Rattus norvegicus: one gene and its partners. The protein of the gene in region 2 binds, or shares a complex with, the protein of the main gene of each other region. Links are inferred from orthologs where the notes say so. Each region holds a gene or a part of one and is shown on either strand. Other genes may lie near its edges.

Region 1 (4,579 bases), on a different chromosome or scaffold from region 2:
ATTGGATTAGTAATAACAGCGAGCGCTCAGTGACCACTCACTTTAAGCTCCCATAGCCATGAGTGAGTGGAGGTTAGTACTGTTTTAAGTACAGATTTCAGGCCTTTAAGCATCGGGTTTGCTAGGGAAGTAGTTCTGTTGTGAACCTGACTTACTTCATTCTTCAGAACACTGCTGGAAAGACACTGGGACTGTTGGAGCAGGTTGTCATAAATCTAGGTCATGTAGAGAGGGAAAGGCGAGGGGAATTTTGCTTTGTTTTGAGTCTGTGAGTACAGGAGCCTCTGAAAGGATCCTGAGGAAACAGAGCTCTGAGTTAGCAAAGCAGTATCTCAAGAGCGGATCCTGGACTTAAAAACAGAATGCATACACGGATGGACTAGTGTAAAACTGACCAAATTGTTTCTTTGCATTTTAGAGGCACAATTTTACTTTCTTAGATAATTTCTTATAGGAGTGAAACTCTAAACAATAAACATAGGAGAAAGCAAATATGTTATGGGAATGTTTTCATTTCCTTTCTTTTGGGTGGTTCTTCCTCCCCTTTCCTCCCATTATGAATTTACCGTGTGGTGAAATAAGAAAGTACAAATTGGGTATCCCTAACCTGAAAGGAATCAGCAACCCAGGAATGTTGTCTTTCTGCATTTTTTTCAGACTTTGAAATACTTGCATATAATAAGCAGTAAAAGTTCTCTTATGTTTCACATACACCTTTTTATACATTGTTAGAAGTTAATTTTGCATAGTATTTTAATGGTTTTTGTACATAAAGTAAAGTTTCATCAGGTAGAATTTTCCTGTAGTGACATCCTGTCAGGAGTCAAAAAGGTACAGATTTTAGAACATTGCAGATTTTGAGTTTTTAGACTAAATATGTTCAACCTATAGAAGTGACTAAGCAGAAAGTGAATGTCAGTCGTCCATATTGGGAGAAAGGACATTTCAGGAGGTGTAGAGAGAGGATTGGGATGACCATTTCAGCATCACTTTCTTTAACATCAAGGTTAGACAAACAGAAGGAAGTTGACCTGTCTTAATTTAGAATGCCTTTATTTCTCATTATTCTCATTAAGGACAAATGGGTGAATAGTTCTCATGTTGACTCCTATTGAAGAGATAGGAAATTTGTATTGAGCAAAGTTCCATAAAAGCAATTACGTAATGATTTTGAAATAAAAAGTAAAAAGATAAGCTGTGATTATTCAGGGATTGACTCTGGGAACTCTGTTAACAATACCTGACAACTGAGGTGAGGAATTACTCTAGAAAGTTTCTTGGAATGTAAAAAAAATTTCTTCAGCATAATAAACATGAGGTCTGATTAAGGTTTATTTTCCTTATATAAAACTTGGGTAAGAAAGGTTAATTCATGTGTGTGTGTGTGGGATTGTATTATTTCTTAGAATGGAAGAAATTTACAAACACGTAATAAATTAATGTTTTGCCTATATATCCAGAGTTTTCTTGAAGTCACTGAGAAGTCTTTATTGTTCTTTGTCTTAGTTGTGGGAGAATAAACTAATGCAGTCTAGGGCAGTAGATGGATTTCATTCAGAAGAACAGCAGCTTTTGTTGCAAGTTCAGCAGCAGCACCAGCCCCAGCAGCAGCAGCATCACCACCACCACCACCACCAGCAGGCGCAACCTCAGCAAACGGTACCTCAGCAAGCACAGACCCAGCAGGTTCTTATTCCTGCGTCACAGCAAGGTGAGGAGGCTAGAGCTCCCTGTCGTGGCTAGCAAATTGCACTTGTTTTTCAAAAGTATTCCTTTGACTTGAATTTCATGGATCCATCATCTTTTTTAAATAGACGCTGGGATCGGGTGATCTATGTGATCTTTTTCTTCTCTGTTGGCTGGTAGAGTGCTCGCCTAGCATATATGAAGCCCTGGGTTCATACATGAACCCACCACTGCATAAGCTGGGTATTGTGGAGCACGTCTATAATGCTAGCATTCAGGAAGACGCAGGGTGAGATATTAAGGTCATCTTTAGTTATTTCTGTAGAGAGTGAGTTGGAACCAGCTTTGACTACTTGAGACTTTGCCTCCAAACCAGCAAAACAAAATAACAAAGGGAAAAGTTAAGAAGAGCATCCCTGGGAGGGGAGCTACAATATGTGAATGAGCTGAGCTAGGGACCAGGTAGAGAGACTTGGAGTCCCAAGAGCATAAAGGCAGAAGACCCCTGTGGGGAGATAGGTAGTATAGACAGAGTCCCAGAAGGTTTTGAGCCAGCGAATCTGTTAAATATATCAGAAACATTACAAAGAAACCTTGTGCCACATAGGTTGGAGGTAAGGATCCATATTCCACACTTTGTATATATTGTATAAGAAAAAAAGAAAATGGGGATCCCCACCTATACAGACTTATTTATAAAGGGATTCATCATTTAATATAAGGTAGTTTTTCTTTATGAAACATGTTCTTTCAAAGACATGTTTGTTTTGTTTTGTTCTTGTATCTTCAATACTGAAGAAATTTTGTAACTTTGGTAGTCTGAAAATTTAGTCCACCTTTTAATGCTTGATTTAAAGAAAGAAAAAAGTCATTTATTGACTCTGCCATAGTTTGCAAAAGTCAAATCATGTTATAGGTCCTGTTCTGTTAACTTTTATTGGGGTGTTTGCAGAATAGCTATTAGCTCAATCTCACAGTTGAAGAAAATCTGGAAAGATTAAGAATCTGCCATACCATTCAATTCAGCACTCAGGAGGAAGAGGCAGGCAGATCTCTGATTTCAAGGCCAGCCTGGACTACAGAATAATATCCGGGACAGCTAGGGCTACATGGAGAAAACTTGTCTCAAAAAACCCCAAAAACAAAAAAGGATCTCAGTACATAAAAAGGATCTCCGCCATACATAGTTTTTTTTTAATATGACAAAAATCTATTGAGTTACAACATTTCCTGAATCTTATAGTTAGATGAACTTGACTGGCAAGGAAACTTCAGGTGAATGAAAGCGTAGTTTAAGGTGGTGACTGTCCGTGACTCATTTGCTTCTTCTGTGAGTATGTGAAATGCACAGGGAATAGTTACATGGAGCAGAAAACCTATACAATTTGGTTTACCATTTACAGCTAATAGATTCTGAGGATCTTTTTTTTTTTTAAAGTTTTGTATATTGTGTGTGTGTGTGTGTGTGTGTGTGTGTGTGTGTGTGTGTGTGTAGGAGCGATAGTCCGTGGCTTGGTGGCAACTACCTTTGCCTACTGAACCATCTCACCAGCTCTTCATGCCTATATTAAGTCTATACCATAAAGTAGACATCCTTTTCATCTTTGATGACTGTTCCTCCTATTGCCTATAGGCATGGCACTAGGATTTTAGGTCATCATAAATTAAAATTGATTTTTTTCACTCAGAGAATATCAAGATAATGGGATTATCTGTGTATTCTCTGAAATTTGCGGGGTCAAACAATTACTTCCGCTTTTTAATTAACATTGCCATTGTTCCTTGTGTGTGTGATGTTGTGCGCACATGCAGATGTAGGTGCTCATGTACTGTGGTGCATGTATGGAAGTCAGAATACAACTTTAGGTGTTGATCCTTGCTTTCCACTTGGTCTGAGACAGCATCTGTGTGTTTTCTGCTGTATGCACTAGGCTACCCACCCTCAAGCTCCCCTCAAGCTTAGCGCTCTTCTGTCTCTGGCCCACCCTCCTGGTAGCTCCATACAACAGTGGTATTAGGGTGCTCATGCTATTATGGCTTTTATGTGTGTTCTGGAGATTCAAAGCAGGTCCTCCTGCTTGTATAGCAAGCATTTTTACCCACTGACTTGTATTTTTCAAATAGTTAATTAAAATGCCTTGACTGTGGTAGCAGTCAGGTTGCTAGAAAAGGTTGTAGGGTTTTCGTTTGTTTTTAGAACACTGCTTTACTATGTCGACCTGGCTGGCCTTGAACTCAGAGTTCTATCTGCCTCTGTTTCCTGAGTGCTGGTGTTAAAGGCATGCACTGCAATGCTGGCTAAGGTATTGTCATTTTATTAATATTTTTCAATATAAAATAAATGTATTCTAGCTGTTGATTTCCATAGAAAATTTTTTAAAAGTCTAAAATAGCAAATACTTTGAGAGTATTTTCAAGTAGGAAATGTAACAAAATCATGAAAAAGGTTTTGACATTTTATAACATTCCTGCAGCTCTGTACCCTTGTTTGTAAATGGACCTTTTATTCTTTTTTTTCTTCTATTTTTGTAGCTACAGCACCACAAGTTATTGTTCCTGATTCTAAGTTGATACAACATATGAATGCATCAAGTATTACGGTGAGACTTGAACATGGCACTTTCATCGGCTTTATTTATTTCATCTAAAATGACAGTTATTTCTTTGGGTATAATTTAACAACTTGAGGTTTATGGAAGATTTCAGCAAAATAGCTGTTAATGACAAATCTAAAGTGTAGTTTAATCTTAGACATTAAGGTTTGTAAAATAATGTAATTTTCTTCTTAAGAAAATACCAAGATACTCTTTGTGGGGGTTAGTTCATAGCTGTAAGGAGCCAGCCAAGCTTGTACATCTGCAGATCTCTGTTTGAGGCCAGCCTGGTCTGAACC
Region 2 (5,140 bases):
CATATCATCTGCTCCTGCACTACCAGTAAACTCCACCAATAAATTTAGCTCTATAGTCACACTACCTATCACACATGTACAAGCCTGTCTCCTCAAGGAATATATAAGTATCGCATGACCTGCTTTAACAACCTCAATAACTCTTATCTTCTAAATAAGTTCTCTAAGAATGTAATTAATTCAAAAGCCATTATAAACATTTTCAAACACAACAGCTTTTAAAAACTTATAGTATATGTGCTATACATATATACTATATGTATATATTATATATAATATTTATATACGTATATAAATAACTTACTTGGCAATCCTCAGTTTCCCAACTTCACCTCTTCCAGGGGCTTTTGCCCATTGCTGGGACAAATATTTAGGAACCTAAAATAAAGCAAAACATTTCAGAGATGATATACCCAGGAATTATATACCTTCCTTGAGGTTATACAATTAGTAAATGATAGAACAGGATTCAAGGTCAAGGCACCTCAAGGGACTTTGTTCTTAACCATAAAAATACTGTGTCTAAAACCCAGATACAGAAGTAAGCAAGGGATAAATTCTAAGAAGAAAAAATACATTAATTCTACTAAGTAATCTGCCTCTGTTCTTCACAGTCCTTTAGATCTTGAAATCAGTATCTACCTTTCAGCTATTCTGTTATGAGAAGCAAAGAGATTTAATAAAGCACGAAGCATATGTGTTGTGGGGCATAAGTATTCATTGAGTGCCAGTTGTCTCATAGTAATCTCAGAATAATAACATGATCACAATGAATACAGGACTGAGACACAGCTGTTGGGGCTGCAAAGGGGAAACAAGATTATGGGGGCTGGGGGAGTGGGGCAGTACCTTGACTACAGTTATGGTTTTAAAAAAGGAGTAAGAAAGACTGGTTGTTATGTATTCGATTCTGTGTAAGTTCATCATATTAACTTACTGGACTACCAAAGGGTGTCAGATGATATGCCGGAGGCTGGAAAAGAGGAAGGCTGAGGAGACAATTCTGTCAGACACCTTGTAGACATCGGAAATTCATCCCCTCAATCTCTTTTCAAACTCAAATGTACTCTCCCCCGTCTACAGATATGAAAACTGAACCCAGGGATACTGATACGACTCAGAAATAAAGCTAGGTGAGATTGTGGGCAGCGTATCTCAAAATAGCGTGTGAAATTTTTAATGGTTTGAATATTTAAGTTTGATGGGAGCTGGAAAAACGGCCCAGCATTAAAAGTACTGGCTGCTCTTCCAGAGGACCTAGGTTTGACTCCCAGCACCCACATGGCAGTTCATAACCAGCTATAACGGTAGTACCAGGAGATCCAATGCCCTCTTCTGGCTTCTGGGTCTTACTACATTCCCCTGACTCACAAATGTAGACCAGGCTAACCTCTCAAGCACTCAGATTAAAGGTGTGCAGCACCACAGGAGCACCTACTTGATAGCTCTGCTTTATTTATCTAACATAAATACGCAAGAAGCACAGATGCTCTAAACGCACAGAGGTGGAGGATTACCATGAGTTTAAGGCCAGCCTGGGTTACACAGTGAGTTCCAGGCCAGCCTGAACTACAGAAAGGAAGAGAATGAGAAAGGGAAAGATGAAAAGACAGGGAGAGAAGGGAAGGGAGAGGAAAGGAAGAGAGTAGGTTTTCTTTTCTCCTGTTACTTACAACCCTCTGCTGTATTATTTGTATTAATCAGACTTTAGTCACTGTGACCAAATATCTGACAGAAACAATTAAAGATTTATTTTGCACTGGGTATCTTAGTCTCTATCTGTGGAAAAGCGAGGAGGAGCACTGCAAGCTCACATCGCAATGGCCACGATATAGAGAAGATATAGACAGGGCCAGGGCAGCCCTAAGAACATACCGCCAGTATCTACCTCTTCCAACTAGGCCCTCACCTCACCACCTTTCACTACTTCCCAGAGACGCCATATTACAAATCCACCTAAGGAGTAACTAATCCCTTAATTAGATCATAGCCCTCATGACCTACTTTGCCTCCAGAAAACAGCACCACAAACACACCCAAAGGTGTGCTTCACTAACTGCATAAGCTCTTAATCTGATGAAACTGAGAAGACTAACCCCCACCCACTTTAGTTTTGTGTCTCTCTGATATACAGCCTTTTCAATTTCTTATATTCATCACACACTGGGAAAGTAATATGTGCCAAACACTAATCAAAGTGCAAAGAAAGTGACTTGGAGGTGGAGGCAATCAACACTGGGTACAGGTACAAAGAATCACCAGAAACTGTTAAATGGTTTGAAAAACTTAACATGGTCTGCAGAACTGGCAAACGGGAGCTGTTCAGAGTAATGGACAGGAAAAGACACCTTGTCTTGATGAGAACTCAGCCATGTGCTTAAAACATTGACACTCACTATAAAGATAAATCATTGATAAACCAACTTTGGGAAACGTTGATGATCCCATTTAAATACGGCTTTTTAAAACGAGATTTCCCACAGAGTAATAGTCCCCCAGTCCATATAAAAAATGTAACCCAAATAGATGGTGACCACTGGGGCAAACAAAGCCTGGCACGTGTCCGTTTAAAACATTTACTGATGGTTAAGTTTCATGAAACCTAAACTCGCTCTTTAAAAACACTAAGTCAACAAACTTCTCTTTGAATTCGGAACTTCCAGGTCTTTCGAAAACTCCAATTGGATTACCAACTCAGGGAACACTTTACCAGTGGAAAACTCCAATTGGATTACCAACTCAGGGAACACTTTACCAGTGTAAAGCGACAGAAGTCTTCCAGACCAGCAGAGAGAGAGAGAGAGACAGAGACAGAGACAGAGACAGAGACAGAGACAGAGAGAAAGAGAGAAGAGAAGAGAAGAGAAGAGAAGAGAAGAGAAGAGAAGAGAGAGAGAGAGAGAGAGAGAGAGAGAGAGAGAGAGAGAGAGAGATTCTGTTTCAAAACAAAACAGCAAAAGTTCACAGGGACCAGTTCCACTTTGTGGTCCAGAAAACTGTGTATCTACTCACCTAATTTATACACATTCATGACTAAAGTTAACCTTACCAAAACAAAGACAAAAAACAAACAAACAAACAAACCCGCAAGGGCTTTTCCGGCATGGGGTAAAATTTACTGCTTTCTCGGGAACATCAGGAAGGCCAGGTCTTGGCGGTAAACAGAGTTCTATGGTGGGCGGATGAAATTGACAGACAGACTGAAAGATGCCCTGTGGCCCCTAAAGTAAGTTCTCCAACCTGCAAACAGGCGCAACAGCGACCCGCTTCTCAGAACAGCGGTGGCCCGGGAAAGACAGACCCAGAACTTTCGGAAGCGCCCCGTGGGGCTCGCGTCTCACCTTCACCAGCCACACGCCGGTGTTCTGTTTGGCGCCCGTCAGATCGAGTTCCCCGCGCTCCGCCATAAGTTTGTCGTGTGAGGCGGCGTGCGCGCACAAGCAGCGACCCGGGACTGAACGTCAGAGAGCGATAGACAGTCCAGAGCCGGACGCTGGGACAAGTAGACCGCGAAAAGCCGGAGTGGCTCACCGGCCGGGAACTAGAAACTTAAGACGAGAGGAACACGCCGCTGAATGAAGAAGTGCGCCTGCGCACGGTACGTCCGGACAGCGTCCCGCGAGGGACAAATTTCCTGCTTCCGCAATTTCTCAGGTGGGTGTGACTCCTGCCAACATGCAAACCTGAGACCCAAGTGCAGAAAGGAAAAACCAAATCCTGAGTAGTGCATTTAAAGAAAAGGTGCCAAAAATGGGGGAAAAAAGGTTAAGACAGACAAAAACTGTATGTATTCATACCCAACCCTAGCTGAAGAGGCTAGGCATTTAAAGGACAGACTTAGGGGTAAAAGTCACTTTCTTGGCCCAATGTCATTGGCACAAGTGGGCACTAAGGTACAAGTGAGTATGCTGGACACATGCCTTTTCGAGACTTAAAAATAAGTTCACACGGTGCAAGAAGAATACACTCTTTCAGACGCCAAAGCCCAAATGCCATCTATTTGGGTCAGTAAGACCCACCACGCAAGAAATAAATCTGATTATTTAACTGCCCTGCTTAAACAGTTTCCTGTTGCAGGATATTTAATCACACTATGAACTCTGAGATTGTGAACTGGAAGAATCTGCTAATAACTGTGGCTCAGCCTTTGATCCCAGAACTTTCTGTTTACTGTAAACAAGTATTTGTGGCCTGGAACAGTATTGGTGCGCACACCTCGGTCCCAGAGCTAAATAAAGTCAACCCTAGATCAAGAGGCAGAGCAAGTAACCAACTGACAGAGAGTGAACATAAGCAAGAGAAAGGAGGCACTTTGAGTTGAAGGGTGTTGGAGAGTGCATGGAGAGCTGGTAGAGTAGGAAGGTCAGCTGGGTGCTTTCTCTGCCTCTCTGAGCTTGCCAGCTTTCATCACAGCTTCTGCCTCCTGAGTCTTCATTTGGTAATTTCCTCTGGCACTTGCCTTTGGAATGAAATTCTACCCTGTGTTTTACTGGGTCCTCTCAGTTTGATCCTCCTATTCTCACAATTCCACACAGGATTCCACACCAATCCCATCCACCTACATGAAGACTCCAGGCCCTTCCTCCTACCATTTCACTACCTCTTTGAAACCAACACCTGTGCCTTAGATACTCCCCCCGCCCCGTCCTTTTCTGGCCCTATCATTTGGCAAACGTCTACTTATAAACAAAGACAAGTAGAAAAGAAACAAAGACTACCAGGAAGAGAGACCCCCAGAGAGAGTTCTGTTTCTCCACACCACATTGTGTGATACTTAACACCGTACCATGAAAGGCATGGATACCGTTGTCTTCTACACTACTCGCTGAACTCCTAGACAGAAATACTGCTTGTGCCCCAGATTTACTGAAGCAGAATGGATGAATGCAAAATAATGCTTTATTCATTTTATAGGCACAACATCCAGCATAGTGTTTGACATACTGTGGAATGTCAGTGGGCTTTGCTTGAATGAACTTTGCTGAAGAGAAACAAACAGTAAGGTATTGCAAGAATGGCAAGTAATTTATTGACTCACACACCAGAGCTATGCACAAAACTGCAGAGAGTCTGTATCTGGGCAGCATAAGGGACGGGGAAAACTGTCAGGTCTCTGAGATCCGCTAAACTAATATGATAG
Region 3 (5,220 bases), on a different chromosome or scaffold from region 2:
AAATGAAATCATAGGTACACAGTTGTAGTCATTAAGTAAGCTAAGTTAAATGCTATACATTAAAGAGAAACATCAACGAGGCAAATGTATGAAGACATTCCTCAACTCCACTGTTTCATCGAGCATCAAAAACCACCACTGTTGAATTGAGTTAAGGATTTTAAACAGTACTTAAAATTGTGTAAGACTAAGGCTTCCAAGTTACCCCCTGCACCAAGCTTGCAATTGAATATAAAATGAACAAAAGAATGAAGTTCACTATAATCAGAGATTATCTAAAAAAATAAAGTACACTACTGCCATGTTCAGTAGCTTACTTTTTTGGATACAAGATAATATAAATTAATAATGTAACATATATTAATATAAGTAGTATTAAAAATAAACACAAATTAAAAAAACTCACTGAAACAATTGATGACTTTTAAGAGTTTGTGTCCGTTACCATGAAACAATTTGTAGGCCTCACTATTTTCCACTGTTATTAATCTCTTCTTCCGTACTTTATATTGTTCATAAACTAATAACCAACAATGACTATTACTAAAAACAAAGATTTCCTGAAAAGTAAAAAAGACTTATCAACTAGTTTTTATATTACTGAAAGCCCATAATGAATGGTACATGAAAATGCTAATCACATTTACTTTATATAAAAACCTCTGCCAGGCCTTGGGAGTACATGTCTTTAATCCCGGATTTGGGGGGTAGAGGTGGTGGGCGGGGATAGGTGGATCTCTGAGTTTGAGGCCTGTCTTAGTCAGGGTTTCTGTTCCTGCACAAACATCATGACACAAAGCAGGTTGGGGAGGAAAGAGTTTATCCAGCTTACACAGTCACATTGCTGTTTCATCACCAAAGGAAGTCAGGACTGGAACTCGAGCAGGTCAGGAAGCAGGAGCTGATGCAGAGGCCATGGAGGGATGTTACTTACTGGCTTGCCTCCCGTGGCTTGCTCAGCTGGTTTTCTTATAGAACCCCAGGACCACCAGCCCAGGGATGGCACTACCCACAATGGGCTTGGTCCTCCCTCCTTGATCACTAGTTGAGAAGATGCCTTACAGCTGGGTCTCCCGAAGGCATTTCCACAACTGAGGCTCCTTTTCTGTGATAACTCCAGCCTGTGTCAAGTTGGCCTTCAAAACTAGCCAGTATAAGGCCACAGAGGTTTAGGAAGGCCAGTGATAACCTTAATAAATGAATTAAAAATGTATTTACTGGGTTTTAAAATTTGTTTTATTCAGGTTTATTTTATGCACAAGTGCTTTTGCCTGTATGCATGTATGTACCATTTGGGTCCCGCGCACTGGTAGGTCAGAGGTCGGCCTATCCGACCACCTGTGATTGTGAGCAATCATGTTGGTTCTAAGGCCCTCTGAAAAAGCAGCAATGCTCCTGCCTGCAGATCCAGCTCTCAGGCCCCTAGTTGGTCCTTTGAGACTGGGTCTCACTAAGTAGCTTTAGCTGGCCTGGAATCCTAAGTGTAGACCAGACTGGCCTGGAATTCACAAGGAGCTGCCTGTCTCTACCCCACAAGTTTTGGGAAAAATAAATCCTATTAAAATAATTAATCTGGGTATACCTCCTGTGGAGGCTCCACTCTTTCAGTTCTCAATAAGTCCACATGCACTCTGCTTAAAAAATAATCCAAAAGTTATTACTACTTTGATCAGATCTTAGTCTTTTTTTTTTTAAAGATTTATTTATTTCATGTATGTGAGTACACTGTCACTGTCTTCAGACACACCAGAAGGAATCAAATCCCATTACTAGGTGGTTGAGCCACCATGTGGTTGCTGGGACTTGAACTCAGGACCTCTGTAAGAGTGGTCAGTGCTCTTAACCACTGAGCCATCTCTCCAGCCCCAGATCTTAGTCTTTATCAACCCAAGTATTAGTTACTTCCTCTTCACATTTAAAAAGTATACTTAAAAGGATACATCTCTTAGTCCTTTTCTTGTACATTATTCTGTATCCACATTCTCTGCATCTGATTGGATCCCTGGATTTTATTTCATTTTCGGTGTGACACTCTGGGAAAGAAAGCACATTTATTCAAAGCCTGAAAGAGAAACACTCCAGGGAAGCAAACAGTAACAACATATTAAAAACAGGAGGAAACCAGGGCACCAAAACATCCAAGTACATTCTTATTACTGAACAGACCAAGGAGAAAGAAGAGCTGTAGGCAGTACACCTTTTCCAGATAAAAGGAAGAAATCTTAATAAGGTAGAGGGATTTTAAAATTAACAATCGCTAAAGTGCTCCACGTTATAATTTTAAAGATTTGTACTCATGTATGGAAGGATTCTTTTTAATGGGAGGGGGGGGCGTTCCTAAGTAAAGCATTATTTAAATGTTAATCTTACCTCCACAAATATATATCATTGGCTGCTGCTTTGGTGGTTGAACATCTTTCTGGGTGTCCATTGTTCGTGCCTGAAATGAGAGCCAAAGACTGAGTAACAGGGCCTTCGCACAAAACATGCCCCATTTGATTTATCTTTTTCTCAGAAGCTATACGAGGTTCTGATTTTCCGACCAAAGAGGAAAACCTCAGTAGAATGTTTGCCTAGTGTGCAGAAGCCCAAGAATCAATACCCAATATTACGGATGGGGAAATTAAAAAAAAAAAAAAAGTAATTATCTACTTCCCCTAAACAGTGATGTGGGCTGGGTCTGAAGGATACAGCACATTTTCAACAATAGTAAATACATTATGAATGTTTATTACTCTTCAGGATCCTAGAGGGTATTACACACGAAGAAACGGAGGCTAAGGACATGTTGGTTTGTCCAGTATCACTCCGCAAAGGAATTCCGATTTGAGCTGGGAGCAGTAGCTCCGTCAAAGCTTGTCTCAACATTAACTCCACCGGGGATCTTTATTTTCGCATTTGGTTCTTTAAGAAGGCTTTGAGAGTCTTCACTTTGTAATTCAGGTTAGCCGAGAACTCACTTTGTAGCCTTAGATTGAAAGTCAAGGTGCTTGTTGATGGCAGAATTCTCCTACCTCTGCTTCCCAAGCGCTCAGATGGCAGGCGTGTGCTACCGCTCTCGGTCGTCCAGGGATATTTTAAAGCCAGGTGTCTCTCCTAGTTTTGCCTCCAATTTACCTCCCAAATCACCCGCCGATCCCTTACCTCCGCAGCTCCGGAAAGCGTCCCTCCTCTGTGCACGCAAACGCTTTCTCCGGCTCTTAGAAGCAAGAGACACTACCGGCGCTGCTTCGCCAACTTCCGGCGCTGACTTATGACGCAAAAGCCCTGTCCCTTTCTGCCTGGCAGTACCGAAGAACTAGGGCGCTTGTTGGGGACTGGTTTATAGTGTTTCTCTCCTTAATTCCTGTAGGATTTTGTTTTGATTTGCCCCTCTCTCCAGGGTAGCAAAACATTCCCACAGCTCGGCGTTCGAGAGTCTGTGCTTGTGTAACGGCAGATAGAGCAGGAAGCCAAAACAGGTGCTGCTGGAATCTTAACCCAGCCATTGCTTGGGCGAACACCAGCAGGCCACCCTACCAACACTTCACTTCCCAATATCACGGTTTTCAAATTGTTCAATACCCATGCAGGTTTTTGTTTGTTTGTTGTTTTCAAATTCCAGTTTTCTTAGTTTCTTGTCACCTCTCTTCTATTTTATGTTGGGGAATGGAATGATAGGGGAAGCCCGAGGCTTGATAGTCTATGTAGCCCAGGCTGAGCTTGCTCTTAAACCGGCGCAGTTCTCTACCTTCGCCGCCTCAATGCTGAAATTAATTGCGCAAATCACAACGCCTGCCCATCTTCCTTTTTGAAGCCAAGGTTTTCACAACTAAGGTTTTCACAAGGACAACTCCATCAATTACTTCCACTAGTTGGTGGCTTTAGCTTTTCTCGTAGTATTCTCCCTCTTGTGTTTGATCAATTCAATAGAGTACAGGTGGTATGTGTTCTCACAGATCAAACTTTTAACTCAGTAAAAATCTGTTGGGTTCAGGACGTTTACACTCAATTATTTCACACCATTTATTTTAAAAATAGAGTGGACAAACTAATAGAAGAAAAACTAGGGAAGCATCTGGAACACATGGGCACTGGAAAAAATTTCCTGAACAAAACACCAATGGCTTATGCTCTAAGATCAAGAATCGACAAATGGGATCTCATAAAACTGCAAAGCTTCTGTAAGGCAAAGGACACTGTGGTTAGGACAAAACGGCAACCAACAGATTGGGAAAAGATCTTTACCAATCCTACAACAGATAGAGGCCTTATATCCAAAATATACAAAGAACTCAAGAAGTTAGACTGCAGGGAAACAAATAACCCTATTTAAAAATGGGGTTCAGAGCTAAACAAAGAATTCACAGCTGAGGAATGCCGAATGGTTGAGAAACACCTAAAGAAATGTTCAACATCTTTAGTCATAAGGGAAATGCAAATCAAAACAACCCTGAGATTTCACCTCACACCAGTGAGAATGGCTAAGATCAAAAACTCAGGTGACAGCAGATGCTGGCGAGGATGTGGAGAAAGAGGAACACTCCTCCATTGTTGGTGGGATTGCAGACTGGTAAAACCATTCTGGAAATCAGTCTGGAGGTTCCTCAGAAAATTGGACATTGAACTGCCTGAGGATCCAGCTATACCTCTCTTGGGCATATACCCAAAAGATGCCTCAACATATAAAAGAGACACGTGCTCCACTATGTTCATCGCAGCCTTATTTATAATAGCCAGAAAATGGAAAGAATCCAGATGCCCTTCAACAGAGGAATGGATACAGAAAATGTGGTACATCTACACAATGGAATATTACTCAGCTATCAAAAACAACGAGTTTATGAAATTCGTAGGCAAATGGTTGGAACTGGAAAATATCATCCTGAGTGAGCTAACCCAATCACAGAAAGACATACATGGTATGCACTCATTGATAAGTGGCTATTAGCCCAAATGCTTGAATTACCCTAGATCCCTAGAACAAACGAAACTCAAGACGGATGATCAAAATGTGAATGCTTCACTCCTTCTTTAAATGAGGAAAAAGAATACCCTTGGCAGGGAAGGGAGAGGCAAAGATTAAAACAGAGACTGAAGGAACACCCATTCAGAGCCTGCCCCACATGTGGCCCATACATATACAGCCACCCAATTAGACAAGATGGATGAAGCAAAGAAGTGCAGACCGACAGGAGCCGGATGTAGATCGCTCCTGAGAGACACAGCCAGAATACAGCA
Region 4 (5,109 bases), on a different chromosome or scaffold from region 2:
ACCACTGAGCTATCTCTCCAGCCCCTTCTTTTCTTTCTAAAGAAGATTATTATTTTTAAGTTCTGTGTCCAGGTGCTACAAAGGCGCAGAAGGGGACATTTGATCCCCCTGGAACTGGAGTTACAGGAATTTTATTCTTTTTACTGTTAGATTTCTGAACAGCTTAAAGGGACAGGAGGTAGAAAAGAAAACAGACTGATTTCAACTGATTTCAATAGTTTATTTCAGACACAGTGTTAGAGGAGCATCTGCCCAAAAAGGAAGCGGGTACTTGGGTTTATCTAGGAGGTTTGCGGAATGGGAAGTTAAGCGCTGCATCTGGGGCTATGTGCAAGTCTTCAATTTCTCCCTCCTGGAGAAAAGGCCATTTTATCTTTAGAAACTGCCTTGCCTTGGCTGAGAGTTAAGTAACAGCAGTGAGGGAGGGGCTGGAGTTCCACTATAGGGTCTTGGTCAGGATCTGGTTCCAGGTTTATTCTAACATTTACAACCAAGACAACGACAGAGTACTTTCATTGTTAAAAGGTGACTTTTAGGGGCTGGGGATTTAGCTCAGTGGTAGAGCGCTTACCTAGGAAGCGCAAGGCCCTGGGTTCGGTCCCCAGCTCCGAAAAAAAGAACCAAAAAAAAAAAAAAAAGGTGACTTTTATTATTACTGCTGTGTGTGAGTGCCGGAAGGAAGAGGCCAGGATGCCCAGCTCCATGGCACAGGAATGGAAGTCAGTTGTCTTTCCCTCTGCTCAGGTCACAGCACAGCAAGGCCTTTCCCAACTGAGCCATCTCAGCAGCCTGCGACTTTCTTTAAAATACCTAATAAAGCATCACCAAGTCCTTACATGGCCCCACCATTTTTGCCCTTGGTAAATGTGTTTCTCATCAGCACTGGGACTTCCTTGTGCCGTTTTCTTATTCTTGTTGGGCTTGATAGTGATGTAAGAATAACAGAATTTGCCCCCATAAGAATTGGAGAGGGATTGGGGATTTAGGTCAGTGGTAGAGCGCTTGCCTAGCAAGCGCAAGGCCCTGGGTTCCGGTCCCCAGCTCCGGAAAAAAAAAAAAAATGGAGAACCTCTAGATGACCTTAGTTGCTGTCATTCCTTCCTTTCCCTTGTCTTGTCTATGATAAATTCATAAGTCAGATCAGGGCAAACGAGAGCTTTCTTTTAAAAATTGTAATATAATCTTCTAACTCCCGGGGAGTTGGAAGGGCTGAGGAGGAAGAGATTAAGATTGATTGTGCGAGGGGTTGGGGATTTAGCTCAGTGGTAGAGCGCTTGCCTAGGAAGCGTAAGGCCCTGGGTTCGGTCCCCAGCTCCGAAAAAAAGAACCAAAAAAAAAAAAAAAAAAAAAAAAAAAGATTGATTGTGCGGGTTGGGGGATGGTGGAGAGATGGCTCAGCAGTTAAGTACACTGGGCTGTTCTTCCAAAGGGCCCGGGTTCAATTTCTAGCACCCATATGGTAGCTCACAGCTGTCTGTAATTCCAGTTCTAGGGGACTCTGACCTCACAGACATTTTGATTGATTGAGCATTTAGTAGCCAAATAAGGGCGATTGTGTTGATCCTCGACTCATGAAAACTCTCTGCACTGTGCATTATCTCAGTTTTGTGGAAAACAGCACAGGTCAAGAAATCCAGTTTTGAGGTCTCTAAGTCTAACATACCACCACTGAGCTGCTGTAGCGCGTCTCCGATAGGAGACCCTGGAGCTCCTCCAGATTGGGTGCCTCCTCCTGTCTAGCCCTGACTGAGATTAGCTTTAGCTTCACAAGGGAGAGAGGCGCGGAACCAAATGGTCTGGCTTAGGGTGTTCCTAGGGAATCCTAATGAAAAGTCACTGTCTCTCGGCCGGCCTTCTTGCGGTGCCTTTCGGGAACTGTAGTCAGACCCTCCTCACAGTGCTCCAATGTAGACTAGGAGAGGACTACAATTCCCAGTATGCCACGCGACAGGCGCGTACATTGCCTATTCTAATCCCCTTTACTCTTGACACTTTTTCTGCGCTCCCTTCTCTTTGGGCTGCTTTTTGGCTGGGTCCTGTCTGTGAAGTTCTCCGCGGTTCTCCCACGTTTTAGAATTTTCATCTTTTATTTCCAGGAGTCAATGCGAGACATTAGCTCTGATTAGGCGACGGCTGGTGACCCGGGGTGCGCGGAGGGGATCCGAGTGGTGAGGGGGTGTGAGAGGGGTCAGGGAGGGAGAGAGTTGAGTGAGAGGTGGTGTGAAAGGAAAGCTGGGGAGAAGTGAGGAGCTCGGAAGCGTGTGTCTCAGTGAGAGGGGTGAAGCTGGCTCGGGGGGTGGGGGGAAGGGATAGAAAGATATTTAGGTTGGTAAGCGTGGAGGCAGTTTATAACCGTGTCCCCAGATGAGAGCGCTAAGTACTTGACAGATTTATAGTGATTTGACCAGGAGGGTGGACAAGAGAGAAGCTTAGGCTCAAACAAGCATCTTTGTCACTGCTTAGGTCAACTAGAGACATCATTGATAATGCAAAACACTTTTGCAAGTAGGACACAACAAGTAATTCAGTCACTTTTGTACACACCAGTGAGGATCTGGATTTGATCCTCAGGACCATACACAAAATGAGAATAATCTCACCCCCTGGAGACTGAAAAAAGGCTGAACTTAAAGGCAGATGTGGGATGAAAAACCTGGTGGCCACTTGTGACATCGAGGTCACAAAGATGGGTCAGGGGTTCAAATCCATCCTTGGCTACATAGCAAGTTCAAGGCCATCCTGAGCTGCATGATGAAGAAGCAGGACACGAAGGGTTTGGGAGGAATGAGTGGCACCAGACAGGAAAGTACAGAAAGTGAACCTGATAGATCTGGAGTCATAGATCTGGAGTGATATGGGTCATGCGGGAGTTCTGACACTTGTCCCTCTCAGGTGATGGAGATCACCCCCGCGAGGGGTGGACTGAACCGAGCACACCTACAATGCAGGAATCTACAGGAGTTCTTAGGCGGCCTGAGCCCTGGGGTGCTGGACCGATTGTATGGACACCCTGCCACTTGTCTGGCTGTCTTCAGGTGAGGGGCGTTTGGAGAGTGTAACGGGGCCTGCAGACTGAAGTTAGTTATCATGGAGGAGAGGCTTACCTCAGTGAGTACCAGGGTGTTAGACAGTGTGTCAATCCAAAACAGAGGTTGTGGGGGCAGCGGGACTGGTAAGGATGTGGGAGATGGCGTGAGACATTTGAGAGGCAGATGTTGCAGGGTATTTGATCACATTGTGAACCCCAAGGTTATGAACCAGAAAAACCTTGTATTGTGGTTCAGTCCTACCATACACCTTTTAGCCAAGGGGCCAGGCAGATAAGGGCAGAGATGCAGGTGTGAGGTTGCTTCTGATAACATTGGCCTCTGAACCTTACAGGGAGCTCCCTTCCTTGGCTAAGAACTGGGTGATGAGAATGCTCTTTCTGGAGCAGCCTCTACCACAGGCTGCCGTGGCCCTGTGGGTGAAGAAGGAGTTCAGCAAGTGAGTCCTGTGCAAGCGTCATTTCTCAAATTGCTTTTGTTTGGAACACTGCCAGGGTGCACACACACAGGAGCTGGGGATCAGATCTAGGGCCTTTCAACAGACTCTGCCCTACACAAGGAAAACCCTCCAGAATACACTTGCAGTGGTTTCCATGGTGCAGAGTTGTGATCTCTCTAGCTGTATACTAATTAGAACAAAACAAACAAAAAGACCAAAGGAAGAAAGGAAAAAAGTAGCCAGCGAAGTAGGGAGGTAGAGACAGGAAACAGTAGATTGTAAGGTTACATTGCAAGTTTGATACATTGTAAGGTCGAGGCTGTCCCAGGCTTCATAGGACCCCTTCTGAAACAAAACAAATGGGGGAGGGGGGATTGACTTAGAAAACAAAACAGAGAAACCAACAACAATCAAAACTAGCTATGTTGTCCTTAGCATTGTAGTGCAGGTTGCCTCACCCAGTGCATGTTGCTTCCCTCTGCAACACTGTTCCAAGGACTGCCATTGGGGGAGAGAGAGCTCCCTGGAGGTCTCCTTTCTATTCATGACACCTCACCCAACTCTGCTTCCGTCCAGGGCTCAGGAGGAAAGTACCGGGCTGTTGAGTGGCCTCCGTATTTGGCATACCCAGCTGCTCCCCGGTGGACTCCAGGGCCTCATCTTGAACCCTGTCTTCCGCCAGAACCTCCGAATTGCTCTTCTGGGTGGGTACGTCATTCCCTTCTCTTCCTGAGCTAGGCCAGGGGAACAAACTGCTTACTACACTGATGGGGGGAGAAGCTCTTGAGAGACCTCCCCAGAACCTCTTCCCCCTCACTCCCACCCCTTCGGGAAGCTCCTTCAAGAATACATTGGACCAGGTGTGGGTGTGGGCTGCAGAAAATGTCCTCTTCTCATGGTTCATGGGGCGAGGGAAAAGACCTAGAGAAGCAGGAAACAGGGCTCCTTATTCCTGTTCATCCTGGCCACAGGGGCAAGGCCTGGTCTGATGACACAAGTCAGCTGGGACCAGACAAGCACGCCCGGGATGTCCCCTCACTTGATAAGTACGCCGAGGAGCGCTGGGAGGTGAGGAGTGGGCCTCTGTGGGCCTCCGCTGTGCGCCCTGTTCCCAGTAGCCCTAGAAACCCCAGTCTCCTGACCCTTTTCATCTCTAGGTGGTCTTGCATTTCATGGTGGGCTCCCCCAGTGCAGCTGTCAGCCAGGACCTGGCTCAACTCCTCAGCCAGGCCGGGCTTATGAAAAGGTGAGGAGGGCAGAGCATGGCTGCTCCCTGCTCAGCCATCTCCTTGGGTCTCAAATAAAGTGGGTATCTTCTGGGGCTAGGAGGGAGTGGAGAGAGTTGGCTGAGAGGAGAGGCCTAAGTTGGTGTAAGCAGACTAGGTGTAGCCCTTTGCAAGCTGCTACCATCAGCTCTCTCTGTCACTAGCACCGAACCCGGAGAGCCACCGTGTATCACTTCCGCTGGCTTCCAGTTCCTGCTCCTAGACACGCCTGCCCAGCTCTGGTACTTCATGCTGCAGTATCTGCAGACAGCCCAGGTAAGAGCCAGGGCCTAGGACGCTGCTCACTCTGCTCAGGTCCCTGAGTAACTACCAGCCTACGGTGCTCCTTAACTCCCTC

Evidence for each region.
Region 1: Gtf2f2 (region 2) and Gtf2a1 share a complex: the UniProt entries of both Homo sapiens proteins name them as parts of the TBP-based Pol II pre-initiation complex. The link is inferred for Rattus norvegicus from reciprocal best matches to the Homo sapiens genes GTF2F2 and GTF2A1.
Region 3: Gtf2f2 (region 2) and Polr2k share a complex: the UniProt entries of both Homo sapiens proteins name them as parts of the TBP-based Pol II pre-initiation complex. The link is inferred for Rattus norvegicus from reciprocal best matches to the Homo sapiens genes GTF2F2 and POLR2K.
Region 4: Gtf2f2 (region 2) and Gtf2h4 share a complex: the UniProt entries of both Homo sapiens proteins name them as parts of the TBP-based Pol II pre-initiation complex. The link is inferred for Rattus norvegicus from reciprocal best matches to the Homo sapiens genes GTF2F2 and GTF2H4.

Annotation. Positions count from the first base shown.
Region 1 is NC_086024.1:116,234,933-116,239,511, reverse strand, and holds part of Gtf2a1 (transcription initiation factor IIA subunit 1), read left to right. Parts: intron 1-1,506; coding exon 1,507-1,711; intron 1,712-3,291; exon of another isoform or gene 3,292-3,434; intron 3,435-4,218; coding exon 4,219-4,286; intron 4,287-4,579. UniProt on the Homo sapiens protein: TFIIA is a component of the transcription machinery of RNA polymerase II and plays an important role in transcriptional activation. TFIIA in a complex with TBP mediates transcriptional activity.
Region 2 is NC_086033.1:57,732,959-57,738,098, forward strand, and holds the start of Gtf2f2 (general transcription factor IIF subunit 2), read right to left. Parts: upstream 3,520-5,140; 5' UTR 3,408-3,519; coding exon 3,342-3,407; intron 379-3,341; coding exon 305-378; intron 1-304. UniProt on the Homo sapiens protein: TFIIF is a general transcription initiation factor that binds to RNA polymerase II and helps to recruit it to the initiation complex in collaboration with TFIIB.
Region 3 is NC_086025.1:69,239,240-69,244,459, reverse strand, and holds the start of Polr2k (DNA-directed RNA polymerases I, II, and III subunit RPABC4), read right to left. Parts: upstream 3,228-5,220; 5' UTR 3,145-3,227; intron 2,441-3,144; 5' UTR 2,432-2,440; coding exon 2,371-2,431; intron 2,034-2,370; coding exon 1,941-2,033; intron 139-1,940; coding exon 116-138; 3' UTR 1-115. UniProt on the Homo sapiens protein: DNA-dependent RNA polymerase catalyzes the transcription of DNA into RNA using the four ribonucleoside triphosphates as substrates.
Region 4 is NC_086038.1:3,074,132-3,079,240, forward strand, and holds the start of Gtf2h4 (general transcription factor IIH subunit 4), read left to right. Parts: upstream 1-1,978; 5' UTR 1,979-2,146; exon of another isoform or gene 2,147-2,892; 5' UTR 2,893-2,895; coding exon 2,896-3,035; exon of another isoform or gene 3,036-3,381; coding exon 3,382-3,486; exon of another isoform or gene 3,487-3,831; intron 3,832-3,944; exon of another isoform or gene 3,945-4,062; coding exon 4,063-4,194; exon of another isoform or gene 4,195-4,220; intron 4,221-4,336; exon of another isoform or gene 4,337-4,407; intron 4,408-4,457; coding exon 4,458-4,554; intron 4,555-4,643; coding exon 4,644-4,732; intron 4,733-4,915; coding exon 4,916-5,027; intron 5,028-5,109. UniProt on the Homo sapiens protein: Component of the general transcription and DNA repair factor IIH (TFIIH) core complex, which is involved in general and transcription-coupled nucleotide excision repair (NER) of damaged DNA and, when complexed to CAK, in RNA transcription by RNA polymerase II.